Linked DNA regions of Nothobranchius furzeri. The protein of the gene in region 1 interacts with the protein of each later gene in a pairwise test. Links are inferred from orthologs where the notes say so. Each region holds a gene or a part of one and is shown on either strand. Other genes may lie near its edges.

What was found. The genes of interacting proteins can lie anywhere in the genome.
Region 2: the proteins of nedd9 (region 1) and banp interact in binary tests that used the Homo sapiens proteins (3 or more experiments, as listed by UniProt). The two-hybrid records come from large-scale screens. The link is inferred for Nothobranchius furzeri from reciprocal best matches to the Homo sapiens genes NEDD9 and BANP.
Region 3: the proteins of nedd9 (region 1) and rfx6 interact in binary tests that used the Homo sapiens proteins (3 or more experiments, as listed by UniProt). The two-hybrid records come from large-scale screens. The link is inferred for Nothobranchius furzeri from reciprocal best matches to the Homo sapiens genes NEDD9 and RFX6.

What each region holds. Positions count from the first base shown.
Region 1 is NC_091759.1:25,491,185-25,497,293, reverse strand, and holds part of nedd9 (enhancer of filamentation 1), read right to left. Parts: intron 5,460-6,109; coding exon 5,361-5,459; intron 5,098-5,360; coding exon 4,960-5,097; intron 4,321-4,959; coding exon 3,187-4,320; intron 3,028-3,186; coding exon 2,938-3,027; intron 2,812-2,937; coding exon 2,302-2,811; 3' UTR 1-2,301. UniProt on the Homo sapiens protein: Scaffolding protein which plays a central coordinating role for tyrosine-kinase-based signaling related to cell adhesion. As a focal adhesion protein, plays a role in embryonic fibroblast migration.
Region 2 is NC_091744.1:74,155,896-74,162,004, forward strand, and holds part of banp (protein BANP), read right to left. Parts: intron 1,694-6,109; coding exon 1,535-1,693; intron 1-1,534. UniProt on the Homo sapiens protein: Controls V(D)J recombination during T-cell development by repressing T-cell receptor (TCR) beta enhancer function. Binds to scaffold/matrix attachment region beta (S/MARbeta), an ATC-rich DNA sequence located upstream of the TCR beta enhancer.
Region 3 is NC_091742.1:9,790,000-9,796,108, forward strand, and holds part of rfx6 (DNA-binding protein RFX6), read right to left. Parts: intron 4,461-6,109; coding exon 4,307-4,460; intron 4,166-4,306; coding exon 4,042-4,165; intron 3,943-4,041; coding exon 3,881-3,942; intron 3,805-3,880; coding exon 3,727-3,804; intron 3,641-3,726; coding exon 3,613-3,640; intron 2,528-3,612; coding exon 2,420-2,527; intron 2,312-2,419; coding exon 2,234-2,311; intron 2,161-2,233; coding exon 2,047-2,160; intron 1,852-2,046; coding exon 1,802-1,851; intron 1,695-1,801; coding exon 1,535-1,694; intron 1,472-1,534; coding exon 1,327-1,471; intron 1-1,326. UniProt on the Homo sapiens protein: Transcription factor required to direct islet cell differentiation during endocrine pancreas development. Specifically required for the differentiation of 4 of the 5 islet cell types and for the production of insulin.

The DNA of each region.
Region 1 (6,109 bases):
ACAGGTAAAGCAACAGAGTTGTTGTTAGATGTTTGTAAGAATCCATTGTGCTACGGCTAAAGCTAGTTGTCTAGCGAAAACGGTGAATTTTCGCGCTCAAACTGCCAGGTGCGGAGCTAGAATTTTCCTCAGATGGACTCAGGGCTGCCAATTCTCACGCAATGAGCGTGAGAAACACGCACTTTATGTTTATGTTTATGTATTTAGCAGACACTTTTGTCCAAAGCGACTTACAATTGCACTTTACCCTCTTCACAGGCTCTCACGCCACACCTTCGAGATCACGCTAACATTCTATATAGGCGTAAAGAAATGGCCAAAAGTGAGACCAGCAGAGGGTTTTAAAAAAATTTCTAATAAATAGTGTTGAAAAGCTTCAATTTGTGTGAACTTAACCTAAATTCTTCTAAGAGTTTTGAAGTACACACACACACACACACACACACACACACACACACTAAACAAAGCAGCAGGCCTTGAAAATAAAATAAGAATTTTGATTTTGTGCTTTAAAGTAAAAAAAAAAGATAAATGTGGAAAAAAACATCTGCTGGTCACTTTGGATCATTTCTAATTCACATATATTTAAAAGTATATTTAAATGTATTTATTATTCCTATAAAACTATTTTAAGAAATGTATTATTTAAGACATAAAAGTAAAAAAAAGTTAAACTGTCTGCATGCGTTTTTCATTACCATTTATATTTGTACATCAAAATAAATAAAAATTTGCCCAACAACAAAAATAAATGTGAATAAAATGCATCCTGAGACCCAGAGGAACCTGCTTTATCTCATTTGAAAATATATTTTATTATATATTAGGGTGTTTAATTAATCTTTATGAATCTTTTCACTTAGGGAAATACTTTTGTCTGGGCCGTTTTTACTGAATGTTTGGTGGATTTAAATCTGTAATCTTGTCTTTCCCAGAGCCACCAGCAGGGGGCAGCAACGCACTGACAGAAAACGGCCTGACTTCAGGTCAAAGGTCAGAGATGAAAACAAGACAGGCTTTGTTTGTAGGGTAAGCTAAAACCTTTCATCAATATAAAAGTTTATTTTAATGTAAAAATGGAAAAATTCATTTATTAATGTTTCTGTTCAGCTTTTGACTAATGCCTTTCACAGCCGCAGAGAAAACACTTCCTGTTTGCAGTTTTCTAGTTCCTTTGGGGAAATACCAGTTCTGATATGTTTAACAACAGTAATGTAAAAGTAATACTACTAAGGTAATATTTAGGTAGTATAATGCTTACCTTTGTTCATCCAAACACGTCCTTCGTGTTTTTTTGGTCTTTATTGGACTCAACTTTTCTCTACCTGCAGATTTTAAAGTCTAGATTCAAACTCTGCGGATCTTTTAGTTTTTACATTTGGTTTGTTTATCACTCTTTATGTTTTAGCTGCTCTGTAAAATGAACACTTCAGGAATTATGGTGCTGAAACCTTTAGAAAAATAAATGAAGTGTTTTATGTGCTGGTACCAGAACCTGCCGGTACCAGGACCGGGAGGAGACCAGTGAAATATTTTTATATAGCGAATCGTTGTCGATGCGTTTGGATGAAACTTCAGAGTCTCCTGCTTTCATCCGTCTCGCCTTGGACACACGTGCAGGCCCGGATGGAAGCCACCTCAAAGCGGGCCGAGGCCCGGCTGTTGTGGTACCGGCGAAGCCACGCGTCCCTCACATCCGGACCGCTGCGTTTCCATCTGCAGCTTCTGGAGGAACTGAGCTGTAATTCCAGAACCAGTCTGTGGCGAGAGGAGGAAATGACTCGGCAGAACCTTGGGTTCTGGTTCTGAGCTACTACCTGTCTGCTGAGCCCTTGGTACCGGTCCACTTCACTTACTCAACCCCCGTTCAGACAAAACCACAGAGTCTGATGGTTCCTGAAAACCTGCTGCAGGTTCTAAAGGCTCGGTTCTGATCGACCCAGTCAGGCCCAGACAGAAACTGGTGTTCAAAAATCTTGTTTATGGAAGGAAAATCTAAACGGCCGAGGGGTTCTGAACAGAGCCGGGCCAAACGGGCTCCGGTTGCTTTTCAGGAAAGGTTGGTAGTTTGAAAACTTGTGTCAGTAAGACGAGTCTGACCCGTGTTCAGATTAGTTGTTTACTCTGAGACGAGCTCCACAAACAACAACATCTACAGCTCATAAGGTGCTTCAGACACAACAGGAATGTTCTGAAAAGTCCACAAAGTTCTACGGAGACACCACGACTGCACCTACAGACCATAATACAAAACTATCTACAGGAAACAGCTGATATTTACACACGCAGCCAGGAGGAACATCACGACGAGGCCATCTGCAGCAGCTGCTCCTTGAACTGCCGCGCGTGGTGCGACAGGTCCGTGACCCGGTCCACCATCTCCTGGATGGCGGCCGTGTTGGGGTAGTGCAGAGCGGCCGTTTTGGTGGCGGTGACCACCGTCTTCAGCAGGTCACACAGAACGTTGCTGGAGTTCATGACCCTGTTGGCCAGCTCGGGGGCGGCGGCCTGCCGGGACAGCGTGTCCCCGATGAAGACCAGCTTGTGGGCGCTGAGGATGACAAACTTGCTGTGGGCGACGAAGATGCGGGGCGGCTGGCCGGCGCTGACGCAGCCGAAGAAGGCGTCCACGGCGCTGAGGAGGGTGACGAAGTGCTGCTCGCACTGGGCCGAATAGAAGGCGAGCAGCTGGCGGTCCCGAGAGAAGACGTGGACGGAGGACGGGTCCGACGGAGACGCGCTGATCCACTGGGGGATGTCGTTCTCCACGGGTTGGATCACTTCCTGCTCCAGCTTCTTGAACTGATTGATCTGTGAAGCAACCAGAGGTCTGGTTATTCTCCACCAGAACCAGAACTAAAGCCCGTCCCAAACATCTCCCAGGTTCTGATTCTCTTAAACCTTCCTCCTTATCCACACCCAGTTCTCCCGTCTCACCTGCTCCTGGCCCAGCTGAGCCGGGTTCTGCTTGATGATGTTTTCCTTCTCCAGCAGCTCCTTCTGCTGACGCTCAAAGTCTTCTTTCCCCTGGGAAGAAACGGGAACAGGATGAGATGAGCCGGTCCCACGGCTGCGGAGCAAGGCGCTTATACTTTACACTTTAGGTTATCAGAGGTGGTGTTTTCTGTTTGACCCGTTTACCTAAAACTCTACAGTTAAACGGTTAAACCCGTAAAAGGTTCTGACCTGCAGGTGGACGTAATCGTAGTCCTCCATCCAGCTCTTCACACACTTCTCACTGTTGTTCATGCTGTCTTTGTCCTGGCCCGGGGGGGCGGGGAAGGCCTTGGTCCGGCCGCCGTAGTTGTCGTTCTCCTCAGGCGTGCTTCCGCTAGAGAGCGACCCGTCCGCGTGCGTCCGTCGGAACAGCAGCTCAGCGTTCCCAGATATGGTGGAAGTCAGCTGCTTGGCATCGTCTGGAACTGTCCTGGACACCATGACGAAGCGGTCCAGGTCGTCGCTCTTGTGGTGGTGCGGTCGGGATGAGGCCAGGGCCTTCTGAGCCCAGCTGGAAATCTCCAGAGCGTGATAGGTCTGCAGGAGGATCTGCTGAGAGTCCTCCAGGCGTCCCAGCTGCCGTCGGAGCTTACTGTGCAGGCTGGAGTCCGACAGAGACGTGGCGTTGGCCGCGGCTCCTCTGCAGAATGTAGTAAAGTCCACCACGGTGGCCCGGACCCGATCCAGCACCGCACGGACGTCGTTGGCCTGGCGCTCCATGAACGGGAATGTCCTCCAGTGAGGGGAAGCTGTCATTGAATGCAGCGCCCCGACAGAGAGGTCCAGCGCCTGCTGCAGGCGGTACAACTTCTGCACAGCAGCGTCCACGTCCAGAACCAGGCGTCCCTCGGAGCTGGACCCGGCTGAAGACGAGGACGTGGACATGCTGCTGCGCGTGCTGCCGGTGCTGGAAAAGGACAGGCGGTTCACGTTGTCTGTCACGTCCGCTACCGCGCGAGCTTCCTGGACTGGAACGTCGTAGATTCCCTTGCTTCCGTCAGTGGCAGAGTTTTTGAGCTGGGGGGCCGGCACGCCCCGGGGGAAGTCGTAAACGTCCTGCTGGGGGTCCAGAACCGAAAGGAGAGCCGTCGGAGGAACATCGTAAATGCCTTCGCTCCGGTCGGGGTTCGGGTTTTGGCGGAGGGCGGCAGGCCCGAGGCTGGGGGGGAAATCGTAAGGAGACTGATGGTTGGGGGTGGGCTTGGTGAGGGAAGGGGGCGGGACGTCATAGATCCCTTCCTGTTTGTGTTTGAGGGGCTGTGGGAAGTCGTAGTTCCCCTCCTGGAGGGCTGCGTTGGTCCTGCAGCTGGGCACCGCGTAGATCTGTGGACAACAAGATGATTAGAGATTCTGATCAACAGGAAACAGACTCTGCCGGTCCGATCTCCTTCCCGAACCTCAAACGGGCACGGAACGGGATTTCAGGATTTTATCCTGAAGTCATCCGAGTCTGCTCCAGACTTACGGATGGTCCCGCAGAGCTCCCACACCACTTCCCAGTTTTCCAGCCTGGATTTAGCTTGAGCAGCAGCAGCTTCCCGGCTACTCGGGAAAAAGCGACGCGTTTAAAACGTTCCCGACTGTGGCGAAGCTCTGACCCTGCTGCAACCCGACCGCTCTGCCTCAAAGCATCCTGGGAGCTCAGCGGGGGGAATTAGGCTGTGGGCTGTAAGTGATTTCCATCTGGAACAGCGAGACGGGAGCAGCCAGCTGTAATTAGGAGTAAGAGCGGGTCTGAGCGTGTTTCATGTTATTACTAACAAACCGCCTCGGCGGTTCTGATGAAATCTAAGAGCTTCTGGAAATAGAAACCTTTTGACAGATGAAGTTTAAACACAAAGCCACAGCTCTGGGAACTCTACTGGCTGCCGAGGCGCTCGCTCAGAGGAGCCGCAGGAATCTCATAAACGTCACCGACTCATTTACTACCGACAGTAAAAGGCTCGGGGGCTGCGCTCTTACCCCCTGCGAGGACGGGGGCACGTCGTAAACGCCTTGTGTTCTGGGCTCCACTTGAGACGGGGGAACGTCGTAGACTCCCTGGTTCCTGGCTCCGCCCGGCTGACTCAGGAACATGTGACCTGGCGGAACGTCGTACGTCTGAAACAGAAGAGATGCTTTTAGAAAAGGATTAAAAACAGAGTTCAGCAGCTTCAAACAGCAAAAAGATGGAATATTTAGGAATAAATAATAAAAGTCATCTGATGCCTAAAGGCTGAGTTTCCAGGTTTTTGAGCCAAGCCTGGAGTTCAGGAGGGAACTACAGATTTTCTCTGGCTGCGGGTTTGGGTCAGAACACCGGGGTCACAACAGGACCTCCTCCTCCTGATCAGGTGGAGAACGCATCAGGAGGGGACACCTACCCCCTGAGACCTGCTGGGCGGCACGTCGTACAGGTCCTGCTGGTTGTGCTGTCCGGGGCCGAAGGCGTAGGACTGTCCCGCTCTGGTCGGGACCACCACCTGTCCAATCACAGCAGAGAACAGAAACAGCCCGTCAGACTCTCCCACCGCTCGGCTCATTCCTCGTCCCCGAGCGACCCCGCAGCATGTGAGGCTGATCTTTTTGGACACGCCCCTCCTCGTTTCACCGTACCCGACGCAGGAATCCCGTTCGCCAACGGGAACTCGGAGCTGCAGAGAGAACAGCGCTGAGGGATTCGGGTACCAACGCCACCCCCGCCCTAAACTCCCGCACCAAAACGCCGTTTGGAAAGTTCTTCCATGATAAATAAGCCCAAACGTTTAATATGACCCCGTTAGCCTTCTCCTCTTCCCGTCAGCGCTTATCAGGCTTTCCACACCTCCTGATCCGTCTCGTTTACTCTACCAAACCTCAAAGACAAGAGGAATGTTGGGAATGTCCTTCCTGAGCCCAGCTCACCTCCCTTGACCCCCACTACAGGGTTCAGGCTCAGATCCATGCTTGAGACTTCCTGGCAGAGGCTCCCCGGGTCGGCCGCAGGCCTCGGAGCAGGTCCGGATCCAAGCAGCTTCTCGGTGGCATTTGTGGAATGTGACCTCAGAACCAGACGGAGAGGAGCGGAAAACGAGATTCCTTCTATGGGGAGGAATTCCATTCACGTGAGCTGGAGTCTGACTGACGGTTTTCC
Region 2 (6,109 bases), on another chromosome or scaffold:
AACAAAAAGGCGATTAAGGAGAAAATAAATCAACGCTGCTCGTGAAAGCAGCCAGTATCCTTCCAGCATGACAAAAGAATCCAGTTTTGTTTACATTAAACTAATCTGCGATAACGCATCACATACACAACTTTACAAAACAAAGCTGTCTTCCATCTGTCACTGACACCGCTGTGTACTGTATTATATAAATAATTCTCCGTACTTCCAATCACCAGATGAAGCAGGAATTGCCAGGTGGCTTTCGGAGGCTAAAGAGTTTGTTTGAACTCTAAGTGATGCAAATTAGTTAGGATTTTTAAAAAGAGGTGCCTTTTCCCTGTTCATTTGACACGTAATTTGATTAAAGACAGAATTGCTGTTTGGTCTTGTGCATGTGTGCTGCATGCTGATGGATGCATCTGAACAAGCATTTGTGCTGTGCGGGTAACACTTTATAATAACTACATCTTATTTAGTCTTAATTACACATGAACACGCATGTAAGTAACTACTAACAAATAATTAATTAACAATGACTCTTACTTAATAAACAATTAAGCAATGCATTAATTAATGCTTTGTTTTTATTAAGTAAGAGTCATTGTTAATTAATTATTTGATAGTAGTTACTTACATGTTTGTTCATGTGTAATTAAGGCTAAATAAGATGTAGTTATTATAAAGTGTTACCAAAAAATGGATTAATAAGAACTCTGTTCATGATTTGTTAATTATGAATAAGCCATAAATAAACAGCTTTTACATGAAACTAGTCATTAGAAGTTAAGCATTAATTAATGTGTTAGTCAGTTGCTTAAAAGAATTTTGTTAATGGTTTGTTACATATGAATAAGAAATGAGTAAACAGCTTTTAAAAGGGACTAATCGTTAAAAATAAAGCATTAATTAATGCATTGGTTAATTGTTTATTAAGTAAGAGTCATTGTTAGTTAATTAATTATTTGTTAGTAGTTACTTACGTTTGTTCATGTGTAATTAAGGCTAAATAAGATGTAGTTATTATAAAGTGTTACCGCTGTGCGCTGTGGGGCGTGCGTGGTCAGAAAAGGAAAGGCCTGACAATCTACCCCAAGTGTTTCCCCCTCACAGGATATTTGGGTTTCCCCTGCAGTGCAAAGCTTCCCTGGTCAGAGGTGAGAGGTGATAACTCACAGGAAAGGAGCAGAAGGGCGTCGTGTGTGGATAGTAAACATTTGAAGCACCAGACTTCTTGATATCTGGAGGGTCAGACTGCATAATAGCTTTCATATAGCTGATAAAATAAGATGACTTTGAGTTCACTGCCTGTGACTGTGCCAACTGCATAAACTGACAGCACAAGATTAATGGATTTTATAAGCATAAATTATATTCTGCCTTTTTAAAACTAAGAACGCTCAAAGCGAGTAGAGCTGTAACGTGTGGATGAAGCAGGTAGAAAGGCTTTTTTAATTAGATCTCACAACTTTCTCCTTTAAACACATCAATACATGCCATCACCGTCTATGTGATAGTGTAGCTAATCATACATAACTCCACACCTGCTCTTTACCTGCAGTGGAACTGCGGGGTGTGCGCTTGGAGAAGCTCTTGACTGCCAGACTCTGGCCACGTTGCTTACGTCTCCAGGCGGTGCGACACTTTGAGTCGATGCTTTGTTTGATGCGATACCAGTCCGACTCCGAAATGCCAAATTTGTGAAACAAGTGGCCTGATGGACACAGAAAATTACAGACAAAATATTATCAGACGAGAACATTTATATCCACAAACTGTTGACGTTAAAATGTGAACTCTGGATGTTTCAAGCGTTACATAATCAGTCAAATCAGAGTATAGATGATCAAAGTCTATATAAATAAAGTTATGAATTCAAATGATGCAATATTTGGATGGAAAACTTTATTCAAATGAACAAGGAAAATAAAATAGTCTAGTGTACCCTACCACGCGGAGTATGTTGATGCTTTTATTTTGATAAGCCACACTGTAGCGTTCACCAGTGTTTCAGCTGACTCATTTTCTTTAATAGTCACAATTTACAGAGGAACATAAGTATTTGAATAGCAAACCTATTAAGAAACCATAGAGGCGTCTGAAATTCACATTGTAGACACATTCCCACTGTGAGGGACAACATATTTTTTTTAAATCAGGAAATCACATTGAATGTTTTTAAGAGTTTTTTTGTATTGCACTGCTGCACATAAGTATTTGAACACCTGAGAAAATCATTGTTAATATTTGGTACAGAAGCTTTTGTTTGCATTGCAGAGGTCAAACGTTTCCTGTAGGTCTTGACCAGGTTTGCAGACACTGCTACAGGGATTGTGGCCCACTCCTCCACATAGATCTTCTCTAGATCTGTCAGGTTTTGGGCCGTCGCTGAGCAACACAGTTTTAGCTCCTTCCAAAGATCTTCTACTGGATTTAGGTCTGGTATGGAGACTGGCTGGGCCACTCCAGAACCTTGATACGCTTCTTTTGAAGCCGCTCTTTGGGAATCCTGGCTGTGTGTCATCGTCAGGTTGGAAGACCCAGCCACGACCTATCTTCAATGCTCTGACTGAGGGAAGGACGGAAAATCTCACAATACACAAGTGCCCCATTCATCTTCTCAATATAGTGCAGTCGTCTTGTCCCCTTGGCTTAAAAGCACCCTCAAAACATTATGTTTCCACCTCCGTGCTTTACAGTAGGGATGGCTGTGACTCATCCTTCTTTTTCCTCCAAACACAGCTAGTGGGGTTTATTCCAACAAGTTATTTTTTTAGTCTCATCTGACCACATGACTTTTCTCATGCCTCCTCTGGATCATCAAGATGGTCACTGGCAAACTTCAGACGAGCCTGGACATGTGATGACTTGAGCAGGGGAACCTTCTGTGCAATGCATGATTTTAAACCATGATGGCATACTGTTCAACTAACAGACATTAGAAACTGTGGTCCCAGCTCTCTTCATGTTATAGACCAGCTCCTCCCATGTAGTTCGGGGCTGATTTTACTATTCTTATCAGTGATATCCCGCCTTTATCCTCTTCCATTTTCTAACAATTGCTCCAACAGATCCGTTTTCACCAAGCTGTTTAGCATTCGCCCCGTAGCCCTGTGAAGGTCCACAATTTTGTTTCTGGTGTCTTTTGACAGCTCTTGGGTCTTGCCCTTGATAGTAGGTGGAGTCTGACAGCGGAGTGGACAGGTATCTTCAGCAAGGTCAGACAAGTGCTACTAATTTAGATTAGTAAGGGGAGTAGAGGTGGACTTTTTAAGGCAGAGTAACAGGTCTTTGAGGGCCAGGTATTCAAATACGCGTGTTCCTCGCGGTACACATCAACCAAAAGAATGCTGATCATGGTTTTTATCTCTAATCGAACTGCCTTACCATCAAATACAAAAACAGAGATCTAAAGCCAATGTTTTCTGGTCTCCAAGATACAAAAGCTAGACACAATTTAGCCGCCAAACTAAAAGCAGAGCAATTTATTTTTAACAGAGTTGCTTCTTCTGTAATCACACATACTTTTTTAAGAAGAAAAAAAAAAAGACTGTGACCACTGTCTGGATTCTGTTTACTTCTCCACTCCTACTGGCAAGTTAACACAGGTCCTGACTGTGTCTACCCCTCTCCTCGCATGTACAGGTGTACTTTGTGGCTGTCTAACCAACTTTATAAATTGTTCGGAGGGCGAGAGCCACTTGACAGCTCGTTTTATTTCAGTTAGCAACCCAGCTACAACCTGTACAACCCGAGGACAGAAAATGAGATGGGAGGGTTATCTGATGGTATTGGGATGACACTATACGGCGGCCCTTTTGCACCTGATGGGTCCTGCACAGACAAGCAAGACAGGTGCTCCTTTTTTTTAAGACAGGCAGAATGAGTCACCCAAAAGTCAACCAGCTCTGCTCCTCCTGACTCTACATACTTCAGTGTCAGACCAAATCTGCATGTAACTGCACACACAGACTTCCAAGAGGAAACATAGGTAACAAAGAATAAAAACGCCTTTGTTTAGAGACCAAATGCAAAAAAGGGGGAAAAGTGGAGGAAAAGTCATTCTTATGTAGGTTTCACTGGGTATTTTCTCAAAAAGGAGATGTAATTTCACTAAATCTACAAGTAGACACGGGTGCTTAGTCATGAATTACAAATAACTGAGTGCAAAAAAGACAGAAAAGAGCCAAAATGAGAAATACAATGCCTGACTTCTTTTTAATCTTTGTACAGCTGGCCAAGTGGACAGGAGTGGGCGTGAGAGACAAATCTTTTTCTAATCAAAACTTACAGCAAATGGCCAACAGACATCCCCTTTCAAACGCTGAGAAGTATGAGCAAGGGTACGCAGCGCTGTCCAACTATATGACACCGAGCTTAGACAGACCCTCAGTTTCACTTTATGTCCGCGTACACCACAAAGAAATGCTTAATAAAGCTGACTCAACTCTGCTGGATAGGTTTGAGCCAGCAGGGGATCTTTTATTACCGTCATGATCCAACTAAACATAAAGAATATGGCCGATGGGATCGCATACAGAAAATGTGTCAACCATCGAAGGCCTTCCTGAGCTCAAAGAGTTCCTGAATTAACATCTTTCCACCAGACATTGGTACGTACTAAAATGTGTTACGAATTAATGTGAGTATGCTGTGATTAATGCATGTTGTCTTAAGACACCATGGGAATACAGACTGTGGCCTATTTCTGTGTTCTATTCAGCTCTGCACCTTAACAGCACAGGAACACAGCATGGGAAGGTCTTGGAGAGTTCATTTATGCTAAAGGGACTAAATGTTAAAAGCCCCTAAATTTCCTGCAGGATTAAATCTGTGACAGAAACCACGTAGTATGAAATACACAGTGGTGCGCGACTCTGACTAGGACGCTATTAAGACATTTTATCCACTTAATCATTACAGAGTTAAGTGGAGTTCCAGAGTCTGGGGGGCTGTGGCCCCCAGACTCTGGAACTCTCTCCCCCTGAGCCTGAGATCAGTGGACTCAATGGTCTCCTTTAAAAAGCAGCTGAAGACTCACTTGTTCAAGATGGCTTTTGTATGACCTTCTTCACCACTCTCTCTATTCTGTTCTCCCCACCTATTCCACCTTCCTCAGGATCCACTGATTTCCCTCTTTCGTGTTCACTTTCTCTCTTTCTTAACATTTTTTTAATCACAATTGCCTATTTTTGCTCATTTTAAATATATTTTTAAACATTTTCTAAATGCTTTTTTATATTTTTACATTTTTTGTTTTTGTGAAGCGCCTCGTGATTTTTATCTTGAGAGGCGCTATAGAAAATATATTTTCTTCTTCTTCTACAAACCGGTAGGTTTTCATATTATTATTCTTGTGTTCATCCATCTATGCCAGGGGTCTGCAAACTGCAGCTCTGGAGACACAAGTGAATCTTTGGACCTTCCATAACAGCTCTTAATAACTTTGACAATTAAAGACAAGAAATTTCACTCGTTTAAAAAAAATTGTTAAAAATGCAGGTGTAAGCTGCTTTAGGGTTTATTTTTTGCGTGGAATATTTATATAAAGTTTCCATAACACACACAAAATGAATCTGAATCATTTTTAGATCTATTTGTTTTTTTTCCTTCATCTTCTGCAAATCAACATTAAATAGAAAGAAATGTCCATGCAATTTTAGGAAATTCATTTTTTTTTATTTTAAAACCTTATATTAGAATCTAAATTGTGCTGTTTTGTTGAAAAAAGGACAACAACAAAAGAGATTTCTGGCTTCAGTCTTCAAAAAATTGTTATAATTCTGATTTTTGTCTCAAGAGTTTGAACTTTTTTCTCAGAATTTTGAGAAAAAAAATACTTTTTTTCAGTGGGTGTAATCCTATTTTGTAGATAATGTGTATTCATAAAAATTTGACTAAATAGTCTTTTCTCAAAAGGTTCTGTTATGGTTGCGACTAAACAAGTTTCATTTTGGTTGACTGAGGGCAAAACGGCTCTTTGGATAGTAAAAGTTGCAGACACCTGATCCACACCTATGGTTTTTGTGCAGCTGATGCTTGAAGACATTTGTCACAGCTGGTAACTTGTGCATGTAACCAAGCATATATGGACAAATGTTTATCTAATAACCAGAGACATGATTCAGAT
Region 3 (6,109 bases), on another chromosome or scaffold:
CTATAAATAAGTACTTTTGTGGGATGCTCTCAGGACATTGTTATATCAACCTTCAGATCTTTTTACAGTCAAAAATCACTGAGAAAATGAATGATATTCATAATAAAACAAAACTTGAATGGGATGATAATTTCAGAAAACATGAAACAGCACCAAACAACATTTTGCTATAGACAATCATTAAAATAAATTTGTTAAAAAAAGAAATACATTTACAAATTTTGAACAAAAAATATTTTTAAATGTTAAATGTTAGCATCACACCATTTCAGGAATCCAATATTCGAACACAAATGTGGTTTCATGCTAAATAAAAATCACAAAGTGACAAGAGGAAAAATGTATTACTGAAAAAAAAGGAGTTTTGGTTATTTTCAAAAACAAGGTTTAAAAAATGACTCAATCAATTTTTTGCCGTTTTGTGATTTTGTTCTGGTTTGAAAACTTACTCAACTTTAAATTTAATCTTGAAGACACTTCCAGCATAAATCACACGTGGCTTTAAAAATCTGGGTGTCCAGTCGTGGTCCCGGAGGGCCACTATCCAGCATGTTTTTGAGGTTTCTCTGCTCTAACACACCTGATATTAATTATTCAGATTGTTGACAGGCTTCTGCAGAGCTTGATGAACTGCTGAACAGGTGACTGAACCATTCAATCAAGTGTAGCAGGGAAACAACTAAAACATGCTGGGTAGTGGATCTCTCGGACCAGGATTGGAGACCACTGCTTTAAAGACTTGAATATTAAATAATAATACAAATCAAATATAGTTTTTAAAACTGATAATGAAAATCTAACATGTACAGGATTAAATATGGCAGCTGAGTGGCCTAGTGGTAGAGTGTCCGCCCTGAGACTAGGGGATCATGGGTTCAAGTCTTAAAAAATGGGACTCAATGCCTCCCTGCTTGACATTCAGCACTAAGGGGTTGGATTGGGGGGGGGGGGGGGGGGGGGGTTAAACCACCAACTAGTTCCCAAGCACGGCCACAGCTGCAGCTCACCACTCCCCCAAGGAATGGGTCCAAAAATGTCACCAGTGTGTGACGGCTAACGGGAATTGAGCTTTCTGATGAAGGTACTAATACTGATATTCAGGATGCTGAATACAACCAATAACAAATAAAACAGACAAAAACTGCTAAAAATGTTAAGTTTTTAACAATCGCAACAGCCTGTGGGGCAGGGGGACCCTTAAATATTTTATTTCTTTGACATATTTTTATCATTCAATAGAAGAGAAAGTGAAACCATTGAAGGATTTAAATGCTTGGCATGTGACAGCATTATTCTCAGTAAACATGAAAATGAGTTCATTCTTACACTCGGAGTAAATATCAGACTCCTGGCCTCCAGCGGCCGATACGCTGAGCAGAGGCTGTGAGGTGATGCTGTTCAGATCCACCTTGTCGATATCCATCACCATGCTGGTCACCACGGTCTGGTCGAACAGCGCCGGGCGTGCTATCTGAAACCACGCAGAGGTCAAGACTGACTCTGAGATCTGACGCCACACCGTCATGTTTGTTACCTGAGCCAGGTGCAAGAAGGAAGTCTGTCTCTTCAGGGAGGAAACAAAGCCACGTGCAATAGGGAGCTTCTTAGCTGCAAGGCTTTCTGGGAGGTTTTCCAGGGAAGAGGCTAACCAGTGCTCCCAGTGTTTGGCAAAGTTTCTAATATCTGCTAACAGACTGATAAACAACATCACCGAACTTAGTAATCCTCTGATTTCATCTCATTTATCACTGAAGCATGAAATCAGCTTGAATTTGTATTTTAAAGAAATAGAAAAGCGAACCTGTCGGGCATCTCTTGCATCGTGGCGGGAATCAAAACATCTGTTAAAACCTGAAAAATAAGCACACAGATTATTCATTAATTACAAAAGAAAGTACCAATGTTTAAATGTAAGATTTAACATAGTTTTTGAAAGCTTAAAAAAAACTGTAAGACTTTAAGACTCTGCCGAAACCCTGCAGTCCCTCGTTTAATGAATTAGCACAAAACATTTGAACACACATGTAAAAGTAATTTCTGCCCAACCTTGTAGAGAATGGAGTCACAGACGCAGAAGATGTCGACGATAACCGGGTTTTCAAGCAGCGGCAGCAGGTGGTCGGGCATCCCCTGCCAGAAATGGAGCAGAAAATTCTGGATCTGAAGACAAAACAGCTGAATTAAAAAAGTTTAAATAGTACATAAAATACTGCTACTAGATGCAAATAGCCACCTCTTCAAAGCTGACATTAATAGCGTTGTCCAGGATGCACTGGCAGTGTGTTTTATACATCATGATCAGTGTGTCCACCTGTGAGGAATAAAAAAAGGCGGCTACAATCCTGACACCCAGAGTTTTTGTTTGTCAACAGAAAACAATTCAAAGGTTACATTAACGTGATGATATTTGATCAGGAACCTTTTCTCTGGAGATGTTTCCCTGCAGTAGGAGATGCTGGGCGTTTGGGAAGTCTGGGAGTAATGTTCCTGTTTTAGAGCTCAGGGAGTATTTCCTCGTGAAGCCGCCCTGCAGAACGCAACAGGCAGCAGACATATTTGGTTTGCTCTGAACCCAAACTGCCGCCCAGAACCCAATCACCGGCTGAGCCCTGGGATCCCACATCCCCTAAAGTTGACACATTTGAAGCTCAAGTAAAACCTGTTTAATTTAGGGGGACTGGAAAATAAAAATTTTAAAAACTGTTCATTTCTAAGAAAGAAAATTAATAAAGTTATATCCTTTTGGTATACACTTACTAAATATTCAAAAACAATCCGTGTTCTTTAACGTCTATTAGAACCTACTAATCTGAAATACAGATGTGGACAAAACTGTTGGTGCCCTTCAGTCAATGAAGGAAGAGCCCACAATGGTCACAGGAACTGGAGCAGTTTGCTCAGAAGGAGTGGGCCAAAATACCTGCTGAGAGGTGCAGAAGTGTCATTGGCAGTTACAGGAATCATTTGATTGCCTCAAAAGGTTGTGCAGCACTATATTAACTTAGGGGTGCCATCATTTTTGTCCAGGCCCATTCCATGACCTTACGGTATTTTTTTAATAATTCTGTTGAAGCGTGGTTGAAAAGCAATGTCTGACTTTCATTGGTTAAATTTCATAGAATTTTTATTTATTATTTTTGTCAGATTCAAGCTATTTCTGTGACCATTGTGGGTTTTTCTTTTATTGACTGAGGGGTACCAACAATTCTGTCCACGTCTAGTTAGGGGAAGTTTTAACAAATTCTAAAGAGAAAATAAACACCAGGAATGAGGAAGTAATTTGATGTCCTGTGCACACTTTAGGTCCTGACTTGTAGAAGTCAGAAATGTTTCTGGCTTTTGATATATTTGTATATGGTTTTGGAAAAAGGCCAAACGTAAGACTTTTCTTTTAAAAAGTATTTCAGTGAGTTCAATTTAAAGGATTTATCTTTAATCCCACTCTGTAAGTAACAAAGATATTTGAATTCAGATTAGATGAGCAGAAAGATGCTAAAAACGTCCTAAAAACTGTAAAACCTGGATTGTACACTAAAACTAATAAAGCTGAGAGCTTAAAACTAATTTAAGTCTTATATTAAATAATAAAATGTGAAATTGAGGGATAATTACCTCATTCTTCAGCTTACTTCCTGAAAATCTACAACAGAAACAAAGAAGACTTCAAATTAAAGACTTATATTGAGGAGAAAAGCTTCAGCTCTAAATGATCTAGTCTTACAATACCTGGTCAACCCTTTACCAGAATACACAGAGTGGTAATAAGCACTGCTCTCTTTGATGCCAATTCCATAATAATGATATCTGTGAAATAAGGTGTGGAATAAAGATCAGACTGTAAATAAATAAATCTTGCTTAATTTTATTGTAATATTTCTACTTGGAGTGTCCTCTGGTGCCGAGTCGTCTTGTTGTTAAAAGAGGAAACTTCTGCCGGATTGTCTGATGAGGACAGCAGGGATAAAGTTTCAGTAATAGTGACAGCTTAATTATATGTATCAATAAAGGTTTACAGTTTGAATCATAATAAACAGAAAGCACCTTTCCAAAGGTAGCAGCACAGGCCGGCTCTAGATTCTCTTTCCCACAGAAGTCCAGGTAGTGAGCATAGAGAATGCACCGCGGGAGACACACTCCTTCACACACGATGTAGTTCTCCTCAAGCCTGTTCACACACACACACACACACACACACACACACACACACACACACACACACACACACACACACACACACACACACACACACACTCAACCCTAACCCTACAGCAGGTTCATACCAACAGCCTGAAGCTGGGGCTCTCACCACTGCAGCGTGAGCTGGGTTTGTTTCTTCTTGTCCTTGATGATCTGACTGATGGTCTTTCTAGAGGAACCGACGCTCTCTTTGATGTTCAGGTCTGAGTTTAGTTCCACAAGATCAGAGTCCTCCTCAGACGATGGTGTCTCATTGCTGTCTTCTGCTTGTGATCATCATAAAACAACACAGAATTAGTCTGCCATGTTTTAAAGTATTAAGCATTCAAATTTTATTAATTCTAGGAGTTCACTGCAATTAAACTCGTGAAAACTTTTCTATTTAAAGCACAAACCTAGTTTTTATTAAAAAAATGGTCATTTGTACTTTTGACGAAGATGAAGAAATATTTGAATGTCTTTACCGGGAAGGAATTAATAAAAATTTAGTTGGATGTTTTTCTTTCTTTCATTTCTGTTTTGGGTTTTATTGAGTTTGATAAAAACTTCTCTAAACAGGGTTGGAATTGAAAACATGACACACTGAAGCCTAAACAACAACAATCTGCTTCTTGTTGTAAAATCTTTGTGTGAATCGTCACTTAAATCAGTTCATTTCTGAGTCTGATTAAATGTCTGTGGAGATTAAATAGACATTTCTCATCTAATGGAGTATTTGATCTGTAATTCTCTCATTTATTTCCAATTTCTTGAGAAATCTTCAAGGTTATTCTGCAAATGTTGCAGCCTTTATTTTCCTCTAAATGCTGACTGATTAGTTTTTTTATCTGACCTTGAAAACACAATTTGTGTCTTTATTTATCCCTCAGCTTAGATTGCTTACTGTCAAGAGTAAACAATAAATGAATTTTGTAACGTCAAAAAGAATCAATACACTAACTATTATGCTATCTGAGGACGTTTACTGTAACTCCATAGTGACTTTTCATTGAGATTGTTGTTAATTCTTTGTTTATATAAAGTTCATTTTACAAAAGATTAAGTCTTCTTGCAAACAAAAAGAACTGATAAATAACAAACATGAATATTTCTAATGTTATAATTATAAGCGTGGAAAGAAAACTATTACTGAAACATTATTAGAGTAATGAAAAGCTGACAAATTTAATTAAATCAACTAGTTTTCAGGCTTAAACTGACGAGATATTTAATAAACAAACTGTTTAACACTTTAACTGACTGGTAGAGGATATTTTAGTCCTCATATATTACTGATTTATTAACTATTTAATTTAAAAAAATCCAAATATGGAGCTCTTTGAATAAAAATTAATTATATTATATTAGTACTTTTATATCATTATGAATTTACACTATTTTTTAACACTTGTTGACCTATTTTTGACAACAGTGGAAAAAAACTAAAACTGGCGAATGAGTTTGCAAACAAACCCACATGTCTGAACTTTCTCTTCTCTTATTTCTTGCTTTATTTCTTCATTATCATTTATTACTTAAAAGGCCTTTTAAACTGTTTGAATGATTAAACTACAAACATCAAGGTAAACTGAGATCCTACATTGGTACGAGCCACGTGATGAAAGTTATTTTCAAAATAAGACCCTTAATTCATCAGAATTGGTTAGAAGTCATAAGTTCATTAACCCTTTAATGTCCACAACAATAAAAACATGAAAAGCTTTTTATTATTATTATTATTTGGGATACAAAATAAAATTATTTTAAATTGTTATTATTAGTATTAGGGTGATAATGCAATTTTCCAAATGTAAACATCCACATTTTTTTACTTCATTCATTAGGTATTATTAAGTAAAGTTCAGTGCATGTTCATATAAAATATAGGCCTTAAAATGTGCTCTACCAAGCAGCCTGTTAGTTAGCCCTTTGA